Linked DNA regions of Tamandua tetradactyla. The protein of the gene in region 1 purifies or fractionates together with the protein of each later gene. This does not show direct contact. Links are inferred from orthologs where the notes say so. Each region holds a gene or a part of one and is shown in the gene's direction. Other genes may lie near its edges.

Region 1 (8,006 bases):
ACAACATCAGAGAAGAAATTGATAACTGGAGGTAAAACTGGATAGTTGTGGAAACTGATGCTTCTTTTTCTCTCATTCATTCTCTCGATAGTCTTTTGAAGTATTTCTCAAACATTTTTGATGATGACATAAAGTAGAAAATGATATGGCTCCTGGTACAGATATATTTAAACCTTTGTGCTTATTTATAAAAATACGGTTTTGAGAAATAATGCTAAACCCTACTATTTACAATACACTGATATCTTTTCATTCTTTTTTTAAATTCTCTGTTTTTTAAATGCTAATTTGCAAACCACTACACTGATTTCACTATTTACTCTTGGGTCATAATTCAGTTTGAAAAACATAATTTTTCTTTTTTTTTGTATGGGCAGGCACCAGGAAGCCAACACGGGTCTCTGGCATGGCAGGTGAGAACTCTGCCACTATGCCACCTTTGCCCACCCTGAAAAACATAATTTTAAAGGGAACAAACGTTTGCTGAACATTAACTATGGCCCAGGCATTGTGTTACATGTCTGGCATTAACGGCCATATGAGAAAGGCATTTTGGAAACTAAGACTAAAAATATTAAATCATTTGCTCAGGATAACACAGCAAATGGAAAGGACAGGAATAAATGTGCTTCTGGCTGCAAGGTCCATGTGTTTTACACTTTGCCATATAGTGTGGTCAGAGAAAACTGCAAAGAATCACAATACCTGGTGACATACAGAGGCTTGCTTTGTGCAAAGCACTGTTTTAATTAATTCACACTGACTGATTCACTTAACCTGTACAAAACACTTTAAGGTAGCTGGTAGCTCCCATTTTTCTGATAAAAGAACCTGTGACACAGATGTGTTAAAGAACATGTCCAAGATCACCCAGATAATGTCTCGCCTCTGTCAATACCCGTTGAAGGCTTTCCATGATCCCAGGACAAAACAAAAACCTAAACTCTTTAGTAAAACCCTCAATTAGCTGAACCTCATGTCCAGCAATGCACTAACCTTCCTGCCCCAACAGCCTATGGTTCAGCCAAATGGGCCTTCTCCCCTATCTCTCAACATACTATCCCCGCATCTCCTTACACCTGCCTGCTTTAGCCCAGCTTGCCCTTGCCCTTCACTCCTAGTTTCCTTGTTCAACTCCCACTTATTCTTCAAAATTCCGTTTAAATGTCATTTCCTCAGCAAAGCCTTTCCAGGACGCCTGGTGGATCCTGTGTGTTCCACAGGGATCAATGGACTCGTGTCTCTCCTAACAGTTCTTATCACACTGGAACTATTACTTTCATTTGGGCCTTCAACACCCATTCGTGGGCAGGGCCATTAACCTTGCCCTCCTAGAGTTACATCGCCGAGCTTATCGAAAAAAGAACAAATGGAAGGAGATGTAAACTCAAAATAACACGGGTAGAATCCACTTAAAAAGATGCCACCCTAGAGAGAAACCATTGACTGGTGACAAGTAGGAAAAAGTGTTAACTCCGACCCTGTGAACAACTAAGCGGGTCCCCCACGACCCTTGACTCCAACCCAAGGGCCACCATCTTGGAACCTTACACCAATGGGTCCCCTCAGGATCCAACGTCTCCCTGCGTCTTCGGACCTAAGCTCGGGGCGGGGCGTCAGGTGCGGATGGGCAGGACAATCCCAGAAGCAAACTTCCGAGTCGCCTCCGCCCAGGCGCCCCTAGGGCACGCCCCTCCCGCCCTCCGGGAGAATCAAGATGGCACCCGGGGAGCAGCGGACTGGGCGTCCAGAACTCACCTACTTTGAGTCGTCGCGCGCGCCGCTAGTAACGGCCGCGATCCAGGTGGCGCGAGCGCGGACGCCGGGAAGGAGCCGATTCGCTGATTGGCTCCTGAGGCTGTCTTCACAGCTCGGCTGCACGCTGATTGGGGGAGCCTCCCGCGCTGAAGCAGCCCAAACTCCACCCCCGGCATGCCCCACCCCGCCCCGCCCGGGCAGCTTCTCGCAGGACACTGCGAGACACTAATCCGATGTTGCTCTGCGCGCAGGCAACTACGCACCTCGATTGGGCAGTTCCAAGGGACAACCCACCGCCGCTTCACCGCTCACTGCCCACTTCCCGCGCAGATTTCCAAACCGTGACCATAGAGTTTGGCGCCCGCTGCTTGCGGAGGATAGAAGGGCTATACGATAGCCATCGCTCAATGCGTTTGGTGCGGCCAGGGCGTCCTTTCTCGGTCCTCCCAGACATGGTGTCCGCTGACTCATGAGAAGTGGGTTGCGGCTTGCAGTCGTGGCTGCAGGCTGCAGTGCGAACAGGCCGTAGGCGTGGCGCTTGAGGACTCCTCATAGCAATGGAATTTCATTTCCTTTTGACTTGTCTTGTTCTGCAGAGGTCATGTCATTTCTTCTTGGGGATACATCACTGACGGAGATTTTGAGGTCATTTTCCTAAAGCACAGATCCCTAGGCGAACAGAGAGAACTGCTGGGCTAACCGTCTTAAAAGGATTACTGAGATCTGTCCGCACCTTTCAACGAGTGGGAGGATAATAAAATCATTTCAGTATCTCAAGCTGACATGAAAAGAATTGCAGCACTTTGAAATGCATTTATTTTTCCCATTAGTTCTCATTTAATTCTGACCACATAATACAAGAGGCAGAACTAGATTTTAACAAACGTAGGAATTGAAGCTCTGCGGTTTAAACGACTTGCCAAGGTTCCTAAAGCTAATGTAAGGTAGAGATAAATTCGAAACAAGTCCTCTAAGTTCTAAACTCTTTCCACTGCCACAAAATAATGGCTTTCGTTGTGATCATGGTATAGAACATAAAATATTCTATCTAAAGTGACTAGATGAGGAAGGGTCTTACACAACTTGATATTCCATTATTTAGAAGGTGACTTGAGAAATGTATTAAATCCAATGTGAATTAACAATGACGACCTTGAAATCACATCTCTATTATAGTGCTTCCCACACTATTGTTACTATGTTTATCCAACTCTCATCAAACTGAGGTCCTGGAAGACAGGACGCTAGTTCTTAATCATTTTTGTATCTCTAGCTTCTGGTTTGATGAACACGTAATATCTATCAAATGACTGGATATTTGGGAACAAAAGGCAAGCTACTGTGACATCATCCCATCCAATTTTTAAGATTATTTATATTATATATTCTCATACCATGTAATCATCCAAAGCGCACATTCACAATATCATCATATAGCTGTGCTTTTATAATCACAATCAACTTTTTTTGTGAAAAATAACATATACAAAAAAGCAATAAATTTCAAAGCAAATGGCAACAATTAGTTGTAGAACAGTTTTCAGAGGTTGGTATGGGTCACACTTCCACAATTTTAGGTTTTTACTTCTAGCTGCTCTAAGACACTTGGAGATGAAAATAAATATCAATGTAATGAATGATTCAGCAATCATACTCATTTGTTAAACCCTACCTTCTCTGTATAACTACACCATCATCTTTGAGCTTTCTCCCACTCTCTAGGGGTATTTGGGCTATGTCCATTCTAACTTTTTCACGTTGGAGGGGGCTGTTGAAAATATGGGATGGGGGATGGAACCAGTTGATGTTCTGGAGAGGATGGCCCCTCTGCATTCAGGATTTATCTTGTCCAGGGACCCATCTGGAGGTTGTAGGTAACCCTAATGCACGGAACTTTGGTAGAATCTTATATATTTCCCTGGGCACTCTTAGGATTGGCAAGAATGATTTTGGTTAGGGTTTGGCAAGTTATGATAGGTAACGATGTCTAACTGAAGCTTAAGAGTGACCTCCAGAGTAGCCTCTCGACCTCTCTCAGCCACTGATACCTTATTTGTTACACTTCTTTTCCCTTTTGGTCAGAGTGGCATTGTTGGATCCCATCCGATTTCTCCTTACCAATCGATCCCCCCATTCTCCCCATTTCATTTGTAGCTCTTGAAGTTAGCTACAAATGAAAGCAGCAAACTGAAAAAACATTGCCTTCATCAAAGTACCTAGAAAGGCAAGCTGGAAAGACCCTGCTATTTCTATCAGACATATAACTCCATAGTTCCTTGCTTGACAAGAAAACCAAGATGTCTACAACGCCCACATGAGGCCCAGATTCCCTACTGGACTGAAACTTCTGGCTTCACAGTACTCTGACATCAACTTGCCTAAACCATTCAACTTATTCTTTGAACATACCCTCCAGCAGCTACATCTCTATCCTGGAAAGTCCTTGCTGCAATACTGTTTCTCTTTCGAAACATCATTCGAAAATTCTCAAGCGAATAAATAAGAGAAGGACAATCCCCAACTGCTTCCTGAGGCGCAGTGGTTTACTGGAGTTCAGGTTTGGTCAACAAAGAACCAGACGTCGGGTAGCAGAGCAGGGTGCCGCATTTCTCCCCAGTTTTCGCTGAACTAAGCATTCCTATCTTTTCAAGAGCTAAGGCAGCAGGGAGCTTTCTGGGCGTGCCCACCCCACTTCCCAACGCCTGGCATCTCAGTCTTCCCAATTCCTGTATCTTCGAAAACTCCCTTTCTGTGCAAAAAAACTCAGGAGTAAAGAAAGCGATCTTGCACAAGGTCATCATTTTTCATTAAAAGAACAAAAGAAAACGAAACACAAAAAAAATCACCCGGTACCCACCCTTTAGTCACCTCATTTTGCGGCGTGGACAACAATAGAGGACTACAACTCCCAGAGAGGAGCGCGCTCGTCCACTGCGAGTCGAGACCAATGGACGGCTGGTATATGACTGCCATCAACTAATCAGGGCCAGCGTGGATGAGGCTTTGTCTCCCGACCGCCGCGCGGGGCCGGTTCTCCCGCCTCCCAGCCGCCGCGCACGCGCGCCCCGCCCTGCCCGCCTTCCCTCCCTCTCCCTCCCCCCTCCTTCTTTCTCCCTCTCAAAGCCTTCCTGCTGCCGCGTTCGGACCTTGCTGCTCCAGCCTCCGGGCCACGAGCCATCCTGCCAGCTTGCGACCCGCGGAGGGAAAGATTCCATATCATTCTCTTGCCCCGCACACACTTTGAGGCGAGCAAAAAGTTAAAATAAATTTTAACCATGAGGGAAATCGTGCACATCCAGGCTGGTCAGTGTGGCAACCAGATCGGTGCCAAGGTAAGGATTTTAAATCTCTTTAACTGTATTTCTTTTGAGCAGGAAGAAGGAAAGCCTTAAATTATGAAGAATGATTGTGGGATATTCGTGCTCTCCATCCTTAAGCTGGGGGGGGGGAAGTTTTATACATATTTGTGGCTAGAATTTGCCTTTGGAAAATGGGGGATTATTTTTCTTGGCAGGCTCACTTTCGGAAAGGACCCTTCGGGTTTCGGGGGCGGGAAAACCGAGGAGTTGTAAAATTGCACTTAGAGGATCTCCTAACGGTCCGAGGACTGGGGAGCGAGATGCGGAAACCTCCCGAGACAAAGCGAGGCGAGCCTGCCCCATGTGCATCTCGCGCTCGCCCCCCCCCCCCCTTGGCGGGAGTTCCTAGGGCGAAGCCCGAGGGGGAAGGGGCGAGGCTGGGCGGGCAGCTGCAGAGGGCGTCTAGCCTAACTGGGGGTGGGGTGGGGTACAATGCGCCATGTGGACTGCTGCCCGGCCCCCTTAACAAAAGATAAGGGACCCCCGCACGGCTCCGGTCCCTGTAGTTTTAAGTGAATGAAAGGATAAAATGTACGTGATCAATTTTATTTCATTTTTCCTTAACGAGATCCTTTAACGGAGTGAACAGATAGGGAGAGGGTGGAAGAAAAGGAGGGAGCATGCCCGCTTAAAATAGCCGTAGGAGACTAAGTGGGAGAGGGGCAACCCTCCTTTAAAGCAAGAAAAAGAAACTTAGCGAAGGAATAAAATTCCAAGGCCTAGGGTTTTTTTTTTTTTTTTTTTTTGCGCGCGGTTACAGTGTAGCGGGGGAGGGGACGGGAGGAAGTGCCGCTGCTACGTTGTAGCAGAAGGGCGGGCCCGGCGGGGCGGGGCGCCCTAGGCGCGCGAGGACAATGCGGTCCTGCTGGCCCGCGGGGGCGCGCGAGCCCCAGCCGGGCGCCGCCCCACGCGCCCGTAATTCAAGCCCTTGGCCCCGCCTCTCCCACGCGCGACGCCTCCCATTGTCGGCGGCTAGACCCGCGCGTGCGCTGCAGTCACATGAAGGCCGAGTTGGGGGCCTGGGCTGCAGCTGCAGTTCTGCGTCCAGCGGCCCTTTGTTTGCTGCGTGGAGGGGCGGGGCCCGGCGGGGGCGGGGCTTACCTAGGCGGGTCCGCCTGCTCCCTCTCTCTTCCCCCACCCGGGTGCCTGATACCTCCGGGTCCTCTCAGTCCCACATCACTTTCCCCAAACCGTGAATGAGCTGAATAAAACACAGAAGCTGCAGCTTACCCCGGGGCTGTGGGTGTCTAGGGGAAGGGTGTGGCTGGGGGATTGAGGGGATGCCGGGCCCTCGTACAGCACCTACCATGGGCGCGACTGGAATTAAAATAGGGGAAAGAAGGTGATAGTTGGGATCTGAGCGGTTGTGGGCTCATTATTCTTAACCGGCAGTTCTGGGAGGTCATCAGCGATGAACACGGCATCGACCCTACCGGCACCTACCATGGGGACAGCGACCTGCAGCTGGATCGCATCTCCGTGTACTACAATGAAGCCACAGGTGAGAGAAGGTGCCCCGAAGGCTTGGGGTCCTATATTATCCTGCTTCATGTCTCCATTCCCGAGGAACCCCCTTTGGATGAATCCTCGTCCTTTGGAGACCTTTCATTTTGATTTCTTCCCCGTCTCCCACCTGGAACCAAAGCTTAGTTCTGCTGCCACCTGGTGGCAGGGTTTGGAATCACAAGTCTAGGTCTCAGGCTCTTTCCTAACCCTAATATGTTATTTATCTTCCCCACCTGCCAATTCTCATTCCTGTACTTTCTCCCCTATAGGTGGCAAGTATGTTCCTCGTGCTATCTTGGTGGATCTAGAACCTGGGACTATGGACTCTGTTCGCTCAGGTCCTTTTGGCCAGATCTTCAGACCAGACAACTTTGTTTTTGGTGAGTTGTTAGTAGATACCATCATATTCAATTTATTTAGGTGTGTGAAAATAGAAAAGGTTTGGAGGTAGTTGTAGTGGAGAGTTTTTAGAGAGTTATAAAATCTGAAGGAGGAGGGTAGTGGTGGTAACTGCCCTAACTAGTAAATTATGAGGATGGATACATTACAGCTGAGGGAGAAAGGAAATACATCTAAAGGAATTATTGTAAAAGATAAAAGGTAGATGTATGGTCACATAGCTTCCAAACCTTCTTAATTAAGCTTACCTCTGAACTCCTTTCCAGGTCAGTCTGGGGCAGGCAACAACTGGGCTAAGGGCCACTATACAGAGGGGGCCGAGCTGGTCGATTCGGTCCTGGATGTGGTGAGGAAGGAGGCCGAGAGCTGTGACTGCCTGCAAGGCTTCCAGCTGACCCACTCGCTGGGCGGGGGCACAGGCTCTGGAATGGGCACCTTGCTCATCAGCAAGATCCGTGAAGAGTATCCTGACCGTATCATGAACACCTTCAGCGTGGTTCCCTCACCCAAAGTGTCTGACACAGTGGTTGAGCCCTACAATGCCACCCTCTCGGTCCACCAGTTGGTAGAGAACACAGATGAGACCTACTGCATTGACAACGAAGCCCTCTACGACATCTGCTTCCGCACCCTCAAGCTGACCACACCAACCTATGGAGACCTGAACCACCTCGTCTCAGCCACCATGAGCGGTGTCACCACTTGCCTTCGCTTCCCTGGCCAGCTCAATGCTGACCTCCGTAAGCTGGCAGTCAATATGGTGCCCTTCCCCCGTCTCCACTTTTTCATGCCTGGCTTTGCCCCTCTGACCAGCCGTGGCAGCCAGCAGTACCGGGCTCTCACTGTGCCCGAACTCACCCAGCAGGTCTTCGACGCCAAGAACATGATGGCTGCCTGTGACCCCCGCCATGGCCGGTACCTCACTGTGGCTGCTGTCTTCCGCGGGCGGATGTCCATGAAGGAGGTGGATGAGCAGATGCTCAA
Region 2 (7,987 bases), on another chromosome or scaffold:
CTATGGTAAAAAAACTAATGACTGGAAAAAACACACAAAGAAAACAATTTGTTGACAAACTAAAATGCAGTCTCATTGACAACCATGGCAGGAAAACAGGGGGTGTGGGGGGTGGGGTAAAAGGCTGAAGATTAGAAAAAAAAGGCGTTTGAACAACAGGCAACATGAAAGCTTTGCTGTGCAGTTGGATGGAAGCATAGATGTTTCTACACTTTCTTTAGCTTTTGGTATTTGTTAAATTCCGTTCAATAACAAAATATACAAACAACTACTTTTTTTGCCTGTGCCACCCAAGTAACGATATATCAAAGAATGTGTATTTTTGCCAGGGAACAACTTCTTTAATAAAAGCAATGTTTTATGAAAAATTGATACAGTTGTTATAACTGAAATTTTAAAAAGGAATTTGAGCATAAGTATAGAAACAGGACTGTATGTGATAATTTAGTATAAAGGACATCTTTATGGCTTTAAAATGCAGTTTATTTCTACACACTTTGAAATGAGGAGAGTAGCTACAAAAATCTTTTGTACAACACAGAAGGTTGATATTTATATAGCAGCAACCTTTTTTGTTTCCATGATGACTGATAGCTTCTAGTAGCATGTTATGTATTAGACATCTCTTTTAAAAATTAAATCTAATCTTTTCCTTTAAGGTATAACGGTAACCAAGAAATTTACTACTTTTCAAAAAGAATTTTGTGCTACGAAGAGAGTATTAAAAAAACAGAAAATTTGAAATGTTTCCAGTTTTGTGATTTTTTTCTGAAAACATTAAAATTATTAGTCACCTATAAAACCCTTAATATGTGCACATCTAAATTTTATGTATGCAGCATTTTTTCGTTTATTTAAAAATCTTCCAGATGAAGTGTCTCAGTGGGTTTTGAAACCATTTGCTAAAACTTTATGAATCTTACATTTCCAGTTTACAAGGAAAACTGACAAGAGAATACAGACATTTACTTGCCAAAGTAGATCAACGGCCCTTTTTTTAAAACTGATGGATGGCACTGAAAAACCAGTGTTAGAATTTAGAAACTGCTTAGTTTCCATTTTTAACCTTGTATTTTGTGAGATATCAGCTACTAAAGCCCAAATCCAAATAAGCTCTTTAAACTGGTCCTCTGAATTACTAGCTCATAAATTATTTAACAAAAAATTAAAAAATTAGGAAGTATATTCAGTCCTATTGCTGTTTAGTTCTACCATTAATATAGCAAAATCCAAAATTATTTTTTACCATTTAAATTTAATCTTTATGTTGTATGTTCTGCTTTATAAAGAAAATAGATGTACATGTATTGGGGTACATGCTCAAATGTTCCTTTTTTAGTAATGAGATGTACAAACAAGTCTGACAGGTCCACTGGTTAGCAGATTATTAAAATCAAATGTTTGTAATTGTAGTTTAGTAATGTCAAAAAAAAAAATCCCTAAAATAGTTTTCCTAAGGAAAAAAAACTATATTGGTAAGTAATACAAATTTGCTTTAGAACCATTAATACAAGGAAAAGAAGGATAAAAAACACTAGAAATAATCCATGTTAAAATTTTAGTGCATTCCTTTGAGGATTTTACTTTTTGGATATTTCTGCATCTTTCTTTTTCACAAACATAAGTATATTCTTCATTTAAAATTGTATGCATAGACGACCTTTATACCTTACAGAATTTTAAAAACTAAAATTTAAAAGAACTTTTGGGACAGAGATTAAAATTTAAATGACTAATACTGGGAGGTTACTTTCTGCTGTGAGCAAGGCTGAAACTTCATAATCAACCCTGTGTAGGATTATAAGATTTGTTTAATTTAATCCATTCACTGTCATTTTCATGGCCTTTATCTAGATCTCAAATGTGTGGCTTAATTATGTAGAGAAGTTACCAAGAAATAGATGACTAAATTTTGCGGTTTTCAACTTGCTTTATCTTTATATGTCCTAAATAACAAGACAAAGAGATTAAAGGGAACTAAGATTTCGGTAAGGCTTTTGTTTCTGTTCAACATTACAAGTGTATCTGAAACTGATATTGTATGGTTTATAATGTAAATTATCCTGTGCCCAAAAGGATAGACAATAGACCCCAGAGAGTGATTATTAGTAGAGTCATCATATCTTTGGAATCAGTTTATCTTTTAGTGGGGGGATCTTAGACCTACTTTCATACAATTTCTTTTTTTTTTTTTTTTTATCAATGACTAATGTTATGAGAAAAACATTCATTGACACTGTACACAAAACCTGGTTGGGAAATGATAACTAAGAAGAGGAAGTAACTTTCTTAATGACCAGATCAGAATCAAAATGACACAGAAAATTGGAGAAGTAGTAAGAGGCAAACAAAATAAGTAAGACATAGTGTGGGCTAAAATAAGAAAAACAAGTTTCAAAAAGAGGAATAGCTAACTATTCTCAGTAACACAGAAAATAATTTAGGGATTAAAACAACCAGCAGACTAGGATCAATAATGTTGTGCTTGCTATTGTTTAAAAGGCAAAAACAATATTGTTAATTGTATTCCTTACTAAAAGAGATGTGTTCTCTAAACTGCTTTCTTGTTGGGCATCTCTTTTCACTTTAAGAACAAATGTGAAGACCTTACTTACCCACTCAAATGACTGAAATAGTTAACAGGAAAAACTAGTTTCATTGTCAGATTGAAGAAAGAAGATACTTTTTTTTCTGCCCTAACAGATGAAGTAAATGAAGAAAGGGGTGATTGAATAAATAGGAACATACAGTTATAAAGATGAAAACCTACTGGATTCAGGCTCTCAAATCCTGAATCTCAAGTACTTTAATAAAAAAGTGGATCAGTTGTACTCTACTTTCATGAAAGACTGAGAGAATGAATTTAAATTGTATTAGGAAGAAGTTAATTTACAATAGATATAAAAGATCAGATAAAAAGGGCTGATTGAAAATTGGAACAATTGAATTTCCATGGATACAGATCCATTTTTTTTTTAAGTGGTGAAATGTGATACATGGAAGGAAGAAATATAACATTTTTAATATTCTGGTCAGATCTCAAGTTTTACTGCCTAATGCAGTAACTAGAGTAATTTGCACAAGGACTTGCAAAGTCTAAAAGAGGGGGCAAGTTTTCTGTTACTGAAACTTCTGGTACTGTCAGGAGGCATTTCTTTTGAAGTATGGTAATTGTGTTGCATCTTTTAAGTGCACATGAACTGCAGATATCTGAATGCAATATCGGACTGCACAGACAGAGGGTTTCTTAAGGAAGCAGGGATCCTGTTTTATTTTCCTGATGCTCCTCTATGCCGCTTTTTTCTTTTTAAAATTTTTGTTTATTGTACAAGAGATATATATTAATTACAGAACACTTCAAAGATAGAGATAAACAAGGACTAAAAACGCATGTGAAATTTCACAATTGCGGGTGGGTGGGGGGAATCAATGGACATTTTGGTATATAATTTCTCATATTTTTCGGTATATATATGTAATTGTATATTATGAAATATACTTATATGTATTTTGAACGTTTATAAAAATCGTAACTTATATCTTTGTAATCTCTTTCTTGATTTAACATCATACACAGTATTTCCTACTACATCACTTAAAGCCTGCCGAAATTTACATAACCAATCCCCTACATTTAGTCATTTGTTTCCAATTTTCCATTATTATAAACAACTGCAAAATCCATCTCCCACATTGGATTTTAAAGCAAGAAAAGCATTGGAACAAGGAGGAAATCCAGGGCATCTACTCATCCAACATGTTTAATGAACACAGGCTGGGAACTGGGAAAAGAGAGGTGGCTAAGGTCTCCACCTCAATTAACTTCCAGTCTCATGGAGTAGAAAGAAAAACAGTTGAGGAACAGGAGGCAAGAAAATGCCTCTTTCAAAAGTGAATTCAGTTTGAAAGAAAGTTGCGGGATCAAGGGTTATCTGCATATATATTGGATAGCTAAAGCAGTTTCTACCATTAAATAGCCCAACGGTTAATAACTATTAGGTTTATGTATAACAATGTCAATACGCATCCACAGTAGCCACTGCTCTAGAAGCTACACAGACAGTAAACCCGGGCACAAGGCTCCGCAACCTCTCCTAGGATGTAGAAAGAGAGGAAACGCCCTCCCCCCGGCCTGCTGGCGCTACCGCGCGCCCGGGAACAATCCCACCGCCGGAGACGACCACCCTCCTCTCCCGGCTCCTTCGCCACTGCCTCACGCCCTACGCTAGGCAGTCAAAAACAAGACCTCCATCCAATGATTCCGACTCGGAGAAGCCCTGAGTATGGTTTTGAATGCTCGCACGATGGTCAGAGCGAAAGGGAAAAACAAACTTTGTTGCACGTTAACTTGGTTAGAGGAAAGCGACTCTCGGGAGCGATTTAAGTGAGGTTAAAACTGTATGCAGTGTTTCTGAGAAACACCGTTTTAAATGAAGAATAAAGGGGCGAGATTGTCTATCCCAGGCTCGAAGGCAACAGAATCCGGCAGGATGCTTTCAGCAGGTGGCCAGTCGGCCGCCTCCCAACCTCCTCCAACTCCTGCTCGGTTTTGACCGTACGGTTCCGCGGCGGCTGGGGGGAAAGTATTCTCCACGCTGCATATTCCCATCAATGGGATTCCCCTCGTGGGAAATGCCTCTTCTTAGCAACACGCGCCCTCGAATTGCCGGACCGGCACCGCCCTCTCCTCATCCCGGGTGGGCGCTGAGAGCTGCTCCGAGACGCGGGGCCACCGGCCACGCGCCACCCAAAGACGCTCAGGCGAGCAAGGGGCGGAGGAGATGCAGCCGGGGCGGGGAGGGGGAGGGCGGGCACGGCGCGCGGGGAGGGGAAGGGGTTCTCGCGCGATTGGGCGAGGTTTCCGGTGTTGTGACTGAAACCCGTCAATATGGCGGCGATCGGCCGCGGCCGCTCGCTTAAGAACCTTCGAATACGAGGTAAGCCTGCTGCAGCCCTCGCCGCATGCCGTTCGGCGCCCGCTACCCCTGGCACTTGCCTCCCCCTGGTCCTGGGTGGAGGGAGCGAACCGGGGCGCTGGCTGTATCCAAGGCTGCCGCCGCTGGCCTGCGAGCGAATCCTAAGTGGGTTGTGTGTCTGTGTTTCTCGCAGGGCGGAATGACAGCGGCGAAGAGAATGTCCCGCTGGATCTGACGCGAGGTAACTCACGGCGCCTCGGGCTCCCGCGAGGGCGTGCTGGTGGGGAGGAGTCGGGGCCGGGGGCAGGGGCCGGGGCCGGGGCCGGGGCCGGGGCCGGGGCAGGGGCGGGCTCCCGTTCGGGACCGGCGGGTGCGGGGGCAGAGCCGGAGCCCCGCCTGCCGGCCCGCGGGAACCGAGCCCGGGGCCGCCTCTCCGGACCGTCCCCATCCCCCTTCTTGGTGCTACTTCCCTTGCCCCTCGCCCTCCTCCCGGCCTCGGGTGCTGCGGTTGCTGGGAGCCCCCAGAGGGACTCGGCGGGCCGGTGACCCTTTAGATTCCCTGAACGCCCCGGAGCGTTTTACCCCTATCCCAGAGATCGTACAGTTGAATCCTGGGGGCGGCCGAAGGGAGGTAGAGTTGTTATTTAGGTTGCAAGAGGATGTCTGAGGGAAGAGCGACCACATCCTGCCCTGCCGGTCCCCCGGATCAGAAACTGGACCTTCTCAGTGCTTGCTGATTGCGTGACTGCTTTTCTCTTTGCCCACCGCCTTGGGGGACCCCAGTGTTGATAACTCGGTATTGAGTCCTGGAGCGGATCCTCGCTGCTAAGTGTATAAACTGTATTCCCTCCTGCTTTCCTTTCTCGGCCGCTGGGACAGTAGTTGGCAAAGACTGCCCCCTTACCCTGATGCAGGTTCATTGTTTACCTTCTGCAGTGGAGATGGGTTTGTTTACACCTTCTGAACTGGGTAAACCCCGGTTATATTTTTAAGGGACTAATCCTGCTACAAGTCAGTATTTCTATTACCAGTCGACGTACTGGAGTTTATTCGACGATGTCTTGTTGACAATTTATTAGTAATATACATGATTTTTCTTTTCCACAGTAAACTCGATTTCGTTTACTGATTCCAACATTCCTATTTCATACCTACTATAGCTTAGTGTAATCTGATTCAGGTACACAAATCACTTTCCGTTTTGAGATCTGAAAAAACACCCTAGGAAGTTATTAAAAAAAAAAAGTCGTTGTAAACATTCTATATGAAATAAAAGTTTTTGCTTTTTTACCCTTTGTTGTACTTGACATAATTATTCTTATCTACAGAATTTGTTAGAGGTGGGATTATTGTTGAGTCTCATATCTATATTTAAAGAATAATGAATTATCTTTTATTTTGTTTAGCATAATGTAAGATTACCCTTAGAAACTGTAGGATTAGTTTCTTTGAACTATAAGAGTGCATTTCTGTAACGATATTTTATTCTGAAAGTTCGAGGATTAGGTTTCTGTAAACATATATCCTTTACAGGCAGAAGAGTTTCTAAAATACAACATAGTAGGGCTTAAATAATAGAAATGGGGATTAATTAGATCGTCAGTGTACTAAATCAGAACATTTTTTCCAGCAGATAGGTTTTGAGAATTAGTGTAGAGATGTAAAGTTTTTGACTTTTGTATGACAGTTTAGAAACTTGACTGTATGTGGTATATAACACACATATGAGAAATATGAATAAAATATATGTAGAAAAAGATTTCCTTATAAACTTCCTAACAAAATGAACGTAATTTCTTCAAGAGCAGAAACTTGGCAATCCAGTCCTGTAACAGATGTAGTGTTAGTGATTTAATTTATCTATGAATGTATGTTTTTTAGATGGAAGTGCATAGAGTACTTATTAGGTAGATTTTATTTGTGCGTTAAAAACTTGCTAGGATGTGGTGCTGACTATAAGTAATGACTGTGTTTTAAGCTGAGTTTGCCGAGGTTTTATATATAGTGAGTTCTCTGATTAGTGCCAGAATTCTGGGTTGTACAAGATTATGGTTGTACAAAATTATGTAGGAATTTGATTTGATGCTATTAGTTTGCTGCAGTTTCACTTAAGTATACAGATAACTCTGTTTTTACTATTTAAAATGGTATATTCCTTAAGCAGTTTATAAACTCCTACAATGTCCATAGATATTTCCAGGGTAATATAAACTGTGCAGAAAATGCTGTTTCTATTTGCCCTAACAATATTTACTTCAGTTCGTAGTAAAATATACACAGTCAATTGAAACTGAAGGCAAAGGCAATATACAGTTAAGTGTGAAAGGTTATATGAGGACTGTATTCCTAAATTCTAAGGAAATTTAGAATATAAAAAGTAATCTGAATTAGATTCATTATATAGTGACACTATTGTTTAAACAAATTGTTACTCTGACACACATTTCCTTGTTAAAAGAAGGCTTATGGATCTAACGTGAAAGTTCATGAGAAATTAAACTTTAGGAATAACTTCAGAAAAGACATAGTTGGTTGGAGCTAAAGAGTAGCAGTTTTTGGATTAGATTACAATATGTAATGATGGCTTGGCTTACCTTGCCAAATTGAGGTCTGGGAGAATTTCTTTGGTTTTGGTACTAAAGCTTCGTACTGGGTGCTGGTACTGAAACATAGTATTAGTGCTCATAAATAGTGTACCTTAATTAAAAATTGTTAATTGAAACCTTTTAACCTAGTTTAGGAACTTTATTGTCATAGATTGTACAATTTATTGGTAAATGTTGCTTTCAGTTTTGTTTAGACAACTACCTAATTTGTGAAAGATCCTGAAATTTGCTAATATATCATTATTCTATTTTGCATGCTCACATCTATTTTGAAATCCAAATGCTTCCCTTAGCCACTTCCCTTCTAGGAGAGACCATTTTTTATCATTTCAGTAGTGCATTTGTTCCTGATACTGAATAACTTATCTTTCTAATATAGTTTAATTATTTTATTCAAAGTAAATCCCCAGAACATAGACACAGCTGTGTTCACATTCATTCAAAATATAATTTATTAGAAAATAA

The links.
Region 2: the proteins of TUBB (region 1) and RICTOR purify together in Homo sapiens (affinity purification with mass spectrometry; 3 studies listed by BioGRID and IntAct, with this or other methods). This does not show direct contact. The link is inferred for Tamandua tetradactyla from reciprocal best matches to the Homo sapiens genes TUBB and RICTOR.

The regions. Positions count from the first base shown.
Region 1 is NC_135331.1:85,601,650-85,609,655, forward strand, and holds the start of TUBB (tubulin beta chain), read left to right. Parts: upstream 1-4,852; 5' UTR 4,853-5,033; coding exon 5,034-5,090; intron 5,091-6,509; coding exon 6,510-6,618; intron 6,619-6,892; coding exon 6,893-7,003; intron 7,004-7,288; coding exon 7,289-8,006. UniProt on the Homo sapiens protein: Tubulin is the major constituent of microtubules, a cylinder consisting of laterally associated linear protofilaments composed of alpha- and beta-tubulin heterodimers.
Region 2 is NC_135335.1:89,140,652-89,148,638, reverse strand, and holds the start of RICTOR (rapamycin-insensitive companion of mTOR), read left to right. Parts: upstream 1-4,862; 5' UTR 4,863-4,888; coding exon 4,889-4,937; intron 4,938-5,109; coding exon 5,110-5,157; intron 5,158-7,987. UniProt on the Homo sapiens protein: Component of the mechanistic target of rapamycin complex 2 (mTORC2), which transduces signals from growth factors to pathways involved in proliferation, cytoskeletal organization, lipogenesis and anabolic output.